Macaca fascicularis: one gene and its partners. The main gene of each other region encodes a partner of the protein of the gene in region 3 in a complex. Links are inferred from orthologs where the notes say so. Each region holds a gene or a part of one and is shown on either strand. Other genes may lie near its edges.

Region 1 (3,653 bases), on a different chromosome or scaffold from region 3:
TTATTGTTTTTGGGTTGAAATACACAGGTGGTTTCTGAACCACATTTTAGTTAAAGAGGTCTGAAAAGAGCCCAAAACAGATTTAAGAGTAACACCCCAATCACTAAATAAATTTATACTGCCAAAAGAATAAGTTTGAATTTCATTCAAATACAGTAACAGCAGAAGTGTAGTAAAGCATTTACACTTATGGGCATTACTACTTTATTATTAGGATAGACAATCCATTTTCCTCAAAATAAACATACCAACTGCCCAAGAGTTTGCCAACAGTACACATCCAACAGCTAAAAATACCATAATTGGCAATAGGCTTCCATTTTGACAAGGCTTTCAGTGTATGTTGTAATTCCAATCTTCATATCAAGCTGATTCAAACAAGATTCTTTCAACACACTAATATTTCAATTAAAAAGGCATGTATGTTCCTTTGATAAGATCTATTTTTCAACTGTCCACTAAATTTTTTAATAGCTATCTCTTTAGAGACTCATAATTAGACAAATCATGCTTACAGTGGCTGGCGTCAATATTGCCAATGCAAACACCGACCTTTTTAGGAAGAGAAATTGAAGAGGGTTGTAAGAATTCTCAAAATAGGGCCAGGCGTGGTGGCTCACGCCTGTAATCCCAGCACTTTGGGAGGCCAAGGAGGGCAGATCTCCTGAGGTCAGGAGTTCGAGACCAGTCTGGCCAACATGGTGAAACCTCATCTCTACTAAAAGTACAAATATTAGCCAGGTGTGGTGGCACGCGCCTGTAGTCCCAGCTATTCGGGAGGCTGAGGCAGGAGAATGGCTTGAACCCAGAAGGCAGAGGTTGCAGTGAGCTGAGATTGTACCACTGCACTCCAGCCTGGGTGACAGAATGAAACTCCATCTCAAAAAAAAAAAAAGAATTCTCAAAATAAACAGTTTGACTAGGTGTCTTCTACATAATACTATTTAATTCAGACAATTCTCAAAATATACCCTTATTTATGTTAGGGGAAAGTTGGTTTCTCCATGGATAATAACAAAAATTGGAAAACACAAGGTACATCTACTTACATCATCAATATCTTCATCATCATCTCCGATGTCATCGAACTGAATTTCATCATCATCTCCAGGACCAAATGTATCAGTTTCATTGATTTTAGCTAAGGACACAGTAAGAAATACACTGGTAAGTCAGCACTGTAATTTAATCAAAGTTTCATCATAAGAAAAGCATTCCTAACTTTTATATAACACAATTACTATGAAGAATATTATATGAAGCAAAATTCCCTGTAGTGTCACTGCTATGTCAAGATGGGAGTATCTGTGTTACCATTTTCTTTTGTTTGCAAAGGTATTTTCAGTAAGGAAGGCTCTAATTACACTAATTCTGAAGCTATTATAACTTCCAGGTATACTTCTCAAAAGGTTTGAGCACATGGTAACAACGTATTTCCTTAAGAATAGCTGGTTCACTAATCATCAGATAGACTCATCAATGAGAAAGATCTGGTCAAATCATGATTATCCCTAAAGAAATGAAAATGAACCAGTAAGCGCTAGTCTTATTCCTAGATACATTAACATTTATTAGATCAGAAATGCTAAGTAATTTCAGCAGGACTTTCATGCTTAAGTAAAATTAATACTTTCGTGCTTAAGTAAAACATAATAAAATTAAGTTTTTTCATAATAAGATACAACAGAGCCAAAAACAGTAACTGCCAAGTGAAAATGCAGGCCTACAAAATAGTATGTCAAGTACATTTCTTGTTTGATGAGGTTGTAAGGGACTTATTTTTAGGTTTTCTGCTTTAAGAATTCATTACTTTTGTATTTGGAAGGGTGAAAACCAAGAATGCTGCTTTTAAAAAATCCTACGGGATACTGTTACACAACGATAAAATGAAAATAGAACTTTTTACCCCGTCTCTACTAAAAATACAAAATTAGCTGGGCATGGTGGTGCATGCCTGTAATCCCAGCTGCTTCGGAGGCTGAGAATTGCTTGAACCGGGGAGGCAGAGGTTGCAGTGAGCCAAGATTGCACCACTGCACTCCAGCCTGGGCAACCGAGTGAGACTCCATTTCAAAACAAACAAATAAACAAACAAACAAACAAAATCAGTAATAGTACCTAATTATGTGCCCTTGCTTCATGTTTTTGTTTTTGTTTTTAATTTTTTTTCAGACAAGGTCTTGCTTTGTCACTGAGGCTCGAGTACAGTGGCATGATCACAGGTCACTGCATCCTCGAACTCCTGGACTCAAGCAGTCCTCCCGTCTTGGCCTCCCAAGTAGCTGAGACTTACAGGCATGTGCCACCACGCCTGGCTGACGTGCACTTCATGTTTAACCCATATGAGCACTGACAGTCTCTCAAGAAAGGAATTTTAAAATAGATACTATAACAAAATTATTCCTTTAGTTAGCATTATGTGGAACTCCAAAGCTTACAGAATATAACTCCTCACTATATTTATTGGGAACAGAATTCCAGTAATTTCTTTCTTAAAATATCTAGTATTATGAAGCATAAGCAGGCATACTTAAAACTAAAAATGTAAGCACTAAAGTAAATAAGCAAAATCCACAGTTCCTTCACCTAAACAGCAACAGATAACCTAAATACCATATGACAAGTTAATACAGTAACTCAGACATTACCATGCTCTGGAAGCTCGCCGTATGCCTTCAGACTTCTAGCTTCATCTGCATTGTATTTTAAAATCACATCAGCTTTGTTATCCTTAAATAGAGACAAATAACTTTAAAAACTGATCATGACGAAATATTATCAGTTATTTCATAAATTCTCATATTGAATAAACAATCAAATCTCACCATTTTATTATAAATCTCCTTTTAAATTTTAAAGCTTTCTCATACCCTCTGAAAAAGATCCTTGGGTTTAACCCAGGAGGAAGTTTATGTACATGGCTGAATGATTATTAACAGGCTTGGGAAATATATTTAAAGATCTCACTTAATAAGAGCAGAACTGTGAAGACCCCATATTTTAGATTATTTAATATTACCCTTTGATTAGAAGTCTTTTGAAGTACAAAAGGTCCCTGGGACAATAATTTGCAGGGTGATCAAACACTGCAATTCCAAAACTGAGACTGAACTGAGACTGGTACAATGACCTAAGCAAATTATACCTTTCTGCATTATCTGTGCTTCTTTGGCTATGTATCATCACAATCTCCTGTGGAGTTTTTGTATCTTCTGAAGATAGATTAGCAGATGTGAAGAGAAGCCCAAGATTTAGTATTGTGAGAAGTTCTTTGCTATTTCTGATGCAAAAGTCCCACTGAGAAATACTGTCTTAGAATGTTCTACTTCCCTATTTGAAAATAATTTAACTCAGTTAAGGGAGAAAATTGATTGCTTCAACTTCAAGGACAGTGTGATTCAGATCAGTACTTCTTAAAATGTAAAGTGTATAGAAGCCCATGGAGATCTTATTAAAATGCATGCTCTGACTGAAGAGTCAAAGAATGTGTATTTCTAACAAGCTTCCAGAAGATGCTATTGAGCCAAAGACCACGCCGTAAGTGGGAGGGGCACGGAAGGATCACGAAAAATTTCAAATCAGAAGTTGGTCCTGGCTGTTACTTTACAGTTAAAATGTTACTCATTTCGGACCCTTGGTGTCCTTATCTATCG
Region 2 (4,185 bases), on a different chromosome or scaffold from region 3:
ACCGCAAAGCCAGACATCTAACTTCTTGAATCCACCCACTACCTCTGGGGCAGTCTCACATTGTTCTGTGCTACTATAAAAGAAATCTGGGCTTCCACAACTTCGTGATTTATCCAGATTCTGATGCCTTCTTAGGGTATGCCAAAACTAAATTTCTACAAAGGAAAACACATTCTATATTTCGAGCCATTAATCGTGACTGAACTTAGCTGCGTCAGGACAAAGATCATACCTGCTTTGCTTACTGGGTTTTATAAAAGTTTGGCAGCTTTTCAAATGACTAAATCATGATTAGTTACACATTTGCAAAAGAATGGCAACTTTTAAATTGCATACAGCAATCTCAAAGGTGGGAGCATCTTACTCTAGCTCTTCACAAGTAGGCCAAAGGATGCCCTTTTCCTGATGTGAGGATGGGTTTCTGAGATTTCTGCAAAAAACCAGCTGCATGAGTGCAAAGAAAAAGTAATTCCACATATGGCCCATGCTCATTTACATGTTTATTTGGATAAACCTCACCACGACAATATTGACAGACATCTGGATTTTCAAATGAAAACAAAAACAAAAATACACAAAAAGCCAAATGAGCAAGTTTTACTTCTATATTAGTAAGTCTCATCTCATAAAACGTAGGGGTCTTCAAAAATATCCTTCAACTAAGTATCCCAGAGGATAACACTGATTTTACACAATAATAAAAACATTCAATTCAGGATGGTAAGTAAATCTTAAAAATAAATTTGGGAGAGGTAACAGAGGACTTTAACGAATCTGTGTTGTAATTCCTAGAGGTATGGATTTCCTGGAGTTCACTGTATTACTATACTTTTTTTTTTTTTTTTTTGAGACGGAGTCTTCCTCAGTCGCCAGGCTGGAGTGCAGTGGCGCTCCGCTCACTGCAAGCTCCGCCTCCCGGGTTCACACCATTCTGCTGCCTCAGCCTCTGGAGTAGCTGGGACTACTAGTAGCCACCACCACGCCAGGCTAATTTTTTTGTATTTTTAGTAGAGACGGGGTTTCACTGTTAGCCAGGATGGTCTGGAGCTCCTGACCTCGTGATCCACCCGCCTCGGCCTCTCAAAGTGCTGGGATTACAGGCATGAGCCATCTCGCCCGGCCACTGTACTTCTTTTATGTGCCTCAGATATGATACAAAAATTTGTTTTCAATTTACCAGAATTAACCAAATCCTGATTATTCTCCTTCTACCGTAATACCATGTAACAGATTCCACTTTAAATTATATTTTAAAAGAATGAGGCTAGGCATGAACATATAACAATTAAAATCGTTTAATATTTTATCTTGCTTTCTTTCTATGACCAACAAATCCATACCTTCTCCTTAAACAAACCCTATGTGTTTTGGTGATACTCTTTACTGAGAACCTTCTTAAGCATCACTCAGTTTAAAAGTTCTACCCTACAAGAATAAAGGAAGCTTTACTATTTTAAGGCTAGAGTCACGTACAGGGATAGCAACATCAACAAAGATTTAATGGACATTTTGCAAAGGGAGATACTGTGATCTTTAGAATCGATAACTTAAGAGAACTGAGAATCTCATCAAGAGAAATAAAAGTGAGAACATACTTACTGAAGTTGTTCAGTACCATGTGAGAAAATGTTAGTGAAAATCATAAGCCTTTGCTAACTCTAATTAGACTTCTCCCATAATACACTTTTATCCTCGAATAATTTTGCAGTAAAACAAACAAATCTTATACAAACAACTCATTAGTGGGTTTTGGGGAGAGCAAAGAGTAATGTCCAGAAAACAGAGCCCTGTACTGTCACCAAGTACCTCGAATTGTGTGTCGTAACAGCTATAAAGAGAAAATGAAACAGACTCCTTGGTGGCAACAAGCAAGTAAAAAGAAGACAAATTGGTGTGGGTCCCAAGAAGGAATAATCTAAGCAGAGTTTTTGTGTACTAAAAATATGGTCCTCTCCTGTGGAAAATAATACATTTTGTTTCCACCTATAGTTTTCTTCAAGTAATTACAAGGGCATTAAATGTGAGCGATTACCTCAGGTCTATATAAAGGAGAATTTCTTTCAGAAACGACTGAGCAAGAGTTCTGCCGAGGTTAGACCTCCTACTTTAGAAACTGTAAGTAAACTTATTTTCAAGTCTAACCTTGGTGTGAAAGTTTAAACGCTGAATGAAGGGAAGGTTGATGTCTTTACTCCCACGATATTTGTCGGATACGGAAGTTAAAAACTTGCCTAAATATGTAACAATTCTTCTGCAAAAGAATGTTACACTCTATAAGGGGATGGGGTAGAGTAAAATGCCAGAGACGAACCTAAACATGTTTCAAGGTTTCCCCACTGTTTAATAAGGAAAAAGGAGTATCCTTAGCAATACTTTTAACTGTCCAGATACGTAAATCTTCTAAGTTAAGAACTGCTTCAAAGGAAAGTAGCAAGGCAGTTTGCAGGTGCCTACTCTGGGAAGCCAGGCCGTCCGGTTAGGGTCCCTCAACCCTCCGCTACCTACACGCCTTCCGTCTGGCGTGAAACAGTAGCAAAAGCCCGCTACCTTCCGAAGCAGGCCCAACAAAAATGGCGTCTCTCCCACCCAATGTGACCAAATCGGGCATTCCCAACTCCTTTCCCCAACAGAGTGCAGGGGGCGCGGTGCCCAGTTCCGCCGGAAGAACAGTTACTGCGGCCTGGAACAGACATCGGGGTTACTGGCAGAGCAAGCCGAGGTATAGTCCCAGACGCTTACAGCAGTACCTTTATTTTTGGGCATAGCGGTGAAGACAGCCTCGTGGGACCTCTTCCGACTCCTTTCTGGCGGTTACTACTTCTCTAAGAGCAGGCTGACCTAAGATGCCTCAGGTGGGTGCGCACAACAGACTGGCCACGGAACTCTCTGCTAAACTGCGGACGCACACTTTCTGGCGTCAGCAATAGGCGACGCACCTAATTGCGATACTTTTCCGCGCCTCTCTTCGCCTGAGGCGTGGCCAAATGACTGACACCTAGTAGACCCCATTGGAATACCGGAGAGTTTGGTGCCGGATGAATAAACAGGTAGCGGGGCGGAACTCAAGGTGGAGAAAGTGGAGTCAAGGATGGAACGGGGCGGTTACCTGGTGTCCGCCGCTTTGCTAAAAAAACGTTTTCCAGTTTCACAAGTTAGTGGGTCGTTTAAACACCTAAATTTTAAGAGAGCCGTTACTCTTACACAGTAATATTGGAGGACTGACTTAGGACAAGACCCTCTATGTTCAGAATGCTTCCTTCCTCCCTCTCTCGCTTCCTCCCTCCCTCCCTATTTACCTTCTTTCCTTCCTTCCCTCCCTCCTTCGGAGTTTCGCTCTTGTTGCCCAGGCTGGAGTGCAGTGGAGCGAACTGCCCGGGTAATTTTTGTATTTTTGGTAGATACAGGGCTTCACCATGTTGGCCAGGGTGGTCTCAAACCCTTGGCCTTGTGGTCCATCAGCCTTGGCCTGCCAAATTCTGGGATTGCAGGCGTGAGCCACCGCGCCTGGCCTTTTTTTTTTTTCAGTCTCTGTCTTCTTTACCTCAGCACCTCACCCTAAACCATGTAAGTACCAAGGCCGGGCCTGTCGCCTAAGATTGCTACCACCCAGCGGAATACTGACAAACAGTAGACGGTAAATATGTATAGGAAATGGAAGGTAAATATATATAGGAAGGGGTGAGACTAAGCATCTGAATCTTACAGTAACCAAATGTCTCAAATGGACTGCCTGTTGTGAAATTATTTCAAGATAAAATTCCATTTGATTGTGATATGCAAGCATTTGATTTACTGGATTTGTTGTGTGTGCTACTATTGTGTTTAGAATGTTGGTATCTGTGTTAAGATATATTGGCTTGTTTCTTGTGATGACTTTGGCTTTAGGATCAGTATAATCCTGGCTTCACAGAGTGAATTGTGTAGGGTCCCTTTTTCTTCTGTGTTTTTGGACACATTTGATGTAAATTCGTTAATTCTTTAAATGGTCCAAGGCCTTAGTTTTGATTATGAATTCGTATTATATTTATTCCCGAGTCAGTTCTGGTAGTTTGTATGTATCAGAAATTTGTTCATTTTTTCTAAATTATCTAACTTGTTGGGTGTATAATTGGCTATAATACACAAAGAATAGTATCTTCCTAATCCTTTTTTTTTTCCCTTTCTTTCTGCAAGGTAAATAGTTTC
Region 3 (3,653 bases):
TGGTGAAAAAACTTTGAAAACTCTGATCAAGGGTTTTAATGTACCAAATATTTTCCTATTTAAAACAACCAGGAATATAATGAAGATGTGTAGTTACCGTTCAGAATAAAATCTTCTATCATTTGATAGAAGATCATACAACTGCTGAATATGAGCAAGACCTGGTAAAAAGATCAATACTGCTCCTTCAATATTTCTGAACTGGGGACTTTTATCTGAAATTTTAAAAAGATACAATATTCAAAATAAGAAGATAAAAGGAACAGCATATAAAATATTAACAAAACATCTCAAGGTAGTAGAAATGTTTTATCAAATAAAATGGAGACCCATTAGAAATAGAAATATACCTAAGTAGGCAAGAAGTTCCAAAATGAGATCCAGGTTGATTTTATGAGGATTCATGTATAGAATAGCATGCTGAGTGCGGCTGCTGTACTTCTGGTAAAATGGATTTAAATCAGCATTTGCTCCAGTCTGAACTGGGATGTATTCCTAAAAGAAATCCAACCAGAGGGAGCTGAATAAAAATATTAAGTATTTTTGTAAGACAAAGAAGGAAAAAAGGCGGTATTTGCATTCATCAAATCTATATTTTTCTCATTGTCACCATTACTATTTTGTTAAGATACAGAAAGAATATACTTAGTAGTGGCAAGAATATCAGAAAGTATCATCTCTCTCCTATAATTTAATGTCATCCAGCCCTTAGGTATAGCAAAACCTTTTTATCTTGGCATATACATACTAAAATAATTGTAGAAAAGCATATTGTAATCATGTATGCATCATTCTGTGGCAACTAAAAAGCAGCCAGGCCAAGAGAGGTCATAACTTTAATAAGTAGTTTGTACCTGGCTCATTCCTTCTACATTGTACTTTGGCTCCTGAATTCCAGTCATCTCTTTTGAAATAATTATACTTTTCTAAAGTCTTTCTTTAGTTAGTAATTTTTACCTCTGGTGTTTTAGGGGAAGATTTTACTTTTTGCTTTCTTGGTCTATCTGCTTAATAAAAATATAAAGATAACTTTAACTCTGTGTTTTCATCAAATTGGAAACATGCATGAAATATCATGGATATGACAAAAATGCTGGATCTAGTACCACTGGCTAAAATGCAGGATAACATTGTTTTTTTGATATTTGAACTTCCCAGAAAGAACTATGCCCTACACAGCTTCAGTATGTACGTATGTATGTATGTATGTATGTATGTATGTATGTATCTATCTATCTATCTATCTATCTATCTATCTATCTATCTATCTGTCACTATCTACCTATCACCATCTTGCCTCTGCCCTGCTCCTGCCAGGACAGAGGCTAAGAAAACCAATGGCAAGGATCTAGATTTGAGACCTGCCCTATCCTGATCACCTATGGTGTTGAGATGAAGTAGAGAAAAATCACTACTATGTACTCCTCAATAACTGATCACTGTTACAAAATTGTTGTAAGAAGTTGCTTCTAACTTGTATGGTCCTTGATTTTGTATGTGTACCTAGATGGCCCAGAATAGTTTAAGAGGACAATCAAAGTATCACAAATCAAAGATTACAGTCTATGAAATAAAGATTAAAGAAACGACCTTTAAAATTCGTTCATTCTCAGATCTATTCCTCATCTATCAAATTATACTCAAATTCACTGTGTTAACCATATGATTTTGAAACTCTTGTGGCAGGTTAGGCCCTGGATATCATTATCTGATATCTTTCAAAATATTTTCTTTTTACCTGATATTTTTTTATTCCCCCTGCTTTGCTTGTAACATTAATGGTTACTTCTTCTTCCTCTTCCAGAAACTTCTGACAATATTCTGAGTCTTTCTCCAGTACAAAACCTGTTTCTTCTATTATATCTTCAAGATGAAAAACCTGCATAGAATAAGGCATATAAATGGGTGAATTCAAATTCATTTCAGTAAATATCATTTTAAAGAGAACAAGGGGACACCACCTTTTGAATGTCACCAAACGCTAATTTAGAATATTATGAAAAAAATGTTTAGTATTATTTGGGAATGAAGACTTGGTTGACAAAGAGGGATTGTCTCTAAAGCCTCAAGACAAATTACATTATGAGATATATTTATATATATACATATAATGTGAAACAGTTAAGAGTAGATTATATTAGCTGAACTGAAAAGGTAAGAATCAAGAATAGAATATGTAAAAAGGAAGCTTCAAAGACAACCCTAAATTTGAGGGGTGGGTGAAAAAGGAGTTCCTTATTGCCAGGTAGCCACTCTTTTTTTTTTTTCTCCCTGACCATTAGATGACCAGGGAAGGGCGGCAACTCTTAATCTGAATATAATGATTTTCATGTGAAAATAGTTTTATGTTCTTTAGCCCTTAGGGCTGTCTTGAGTCAACACCCTCCTTTCTCTCCTATCCAGCCTCAGGCAAGGCAGTAACAGCCATCTGATTCTTAAGGCTGTGTCCCGCTCCTCTGTCGACTCACTGAACCTAGGAATAGTTCTGGCCTCAGACTACAAGCACCCATCTCCTAGGGAAAGAACCTGTTGGTAATGCAGTTTCTGCTTATACACACATTATAAAGAAAACTTACCTCAACAGGATAACTTCTTCCTGAAATTCTGAGAATAGGGCAGTGTGTGAAATACGTAGAAAATTTTTCGCTGTCCACAGTGGCACTCATTAGAATCAAGTGTAGATCAGAACGTTTCTGTAAAATTTCCTTCAAGATAATTAGTAGGAAGTCTGACTGGACACTTCTTTCATGAACCTAGTTTTAAAAAGGGAATAAAAAAATTCATCATATATTGTACAAATTCTAGTAAGAAGCTTGAACAATCAGACACCCAGATTTACTAAAAGTTATTCAATATCTAAGTACAGTCAGTACATGTGCAGGGAGGGAGAAGCTGTATGTTTTAAATAAGGCAGATCTTCAGAACTGAAAATAAAGTCATTCTCTAAAATTGAAGTCACTGAAAATCATATAATGAACTAGATTAGCCATGACAGCATGACTCTACCCTAGGAGATGGTTCGCAAATCAGATCAGATGTAGCTGATAAGGCCGGGTACAACTCTAAGTTTGAGGGATGCGTGAAAAAGGAGTACCTTATTGCCAGTAGCTCATACTTGAGCACTCTGGGAGGCCGACACGGGCGGATCACCTGAGGTCGGGAGTTTGAGACCACCCTGGCCAACATGGTGAAACCCTGTCTCTACTAAAAATACAAGTATTAGCCAGGTACGGTGGTGTGCACCTGTAATCCCAGCTACCTGGGAGGCTGAGGCAGGAGAATCTTGAACCCAGGAGGCAGAGGTTGCAGTGAGTCAAGCTCATACCACTGCACTCCAGCCTGGGCGACAGAGTGAGACTCTGTCTCAAAGAAAAAAGAAAAGATGTAGGGTATATCCCAAATTTCACTTAGAAGCAAGAGTGACTGCTAAATCTCTGCCACTAATATAAAACTATACTGTCACCATTACAAGACAGATGGTTTATCTACTAGGTAGAAAAAGAGGCATTAACTAGCAGGAATCCAAGAGAATCTCTATCACTGTCAGAAAAAAGGGTTTTATGCTCTTCCAACACATGCATTTTAGGGAAGAGCATGGATGAGGTATACTGTCAGAACTTTAGTATCTGTTGATTCTATCTTCCAACTTTCTG

What was found.
Region 1: DHX29 (region 3) and EIF1AX share a complex: the UniProt entries of both Homo sapiens proteins name them as parts of the 43S pre-initiation complex. The link is inferred for Macaca fascicularis from reciprocal best matches to the Homo sapiens genes DHX29 and EIF1AX.
Region 2: DHX29 (region 3) and eukaryotic translation initiation factor 1A, Y-chromosomal share a complex: the UniProt entries of both Homo sapiens proteins name them as parts of the 43S pre-initiation complex. The link is inferred for Macaca fascicularis from reciprocal best matches to the Homo sapiens genes DHX29 and EIF1AY.

Annotation. Positions count from the first base shown.
Region 1 is NC_088395.1:19,994,474-19,998,126, forward strand, and holds part of EIF1AX (eukaryotic translation initiation factor 1A, X-chromosomal), read right to left. Parts: intron 2,731-3,653; coding exon 2,649-2,730; intron 1,142-2,648; coding exon 1,050-1,141; intron 1-1,049. UniProt on the Homo sapiens protein: Component of the 43S pre-initiation complex (43S PIC), which binds to the mRNA cap-proximal region, scans mRNA 5'-untranslated region, and locates the initiation codon. This protein enhances formation of the cap-proximal complex.
Region 2 is NC_132903.1:7,967,755-7,971,939, reverse strand, and holds the start of eukaryotic translation initiation factor 1A, Y-chromosomal, read right to left. Parts: upstream 2,945-4,185; 5' UTR 2,764-2,944; coding exon 2,748-2,763; intron 1-2,747. UniProt on the Homo sapiens protein: Component of the 43S pre-initiation complex (43S PIC), which binds to the mRNA cap-proximal region, scans mRNA 5'-untranslated region, and locates the initiation codon. This protein enhances formation of the cap-proximal complex.
Region 3 is NC_088380.1:60,695,915-60,699,567, forward strand, and holds part of DHX29 (ATP-dependent RNA helicase DHX29), read right to left. Parts: intron 2,754-3,653; coding exon 2,577-2,753; intron 1,880-2,576; coding exon 1,739-1,879; intron 496-1,738; coding exon 351-495; intron 216-350; coding exon 98-215; intron 1-97. UniProt on the Homo sapiens protein: ATP-binding RNA helicase involved in translation initiation. Part of the 43S pre-initiation complex that is required for efficient initiation on mRNAs of higher eukaryotes with structured 5'-UTRs by promoting efficient NTPase-dependent 48S complex formation.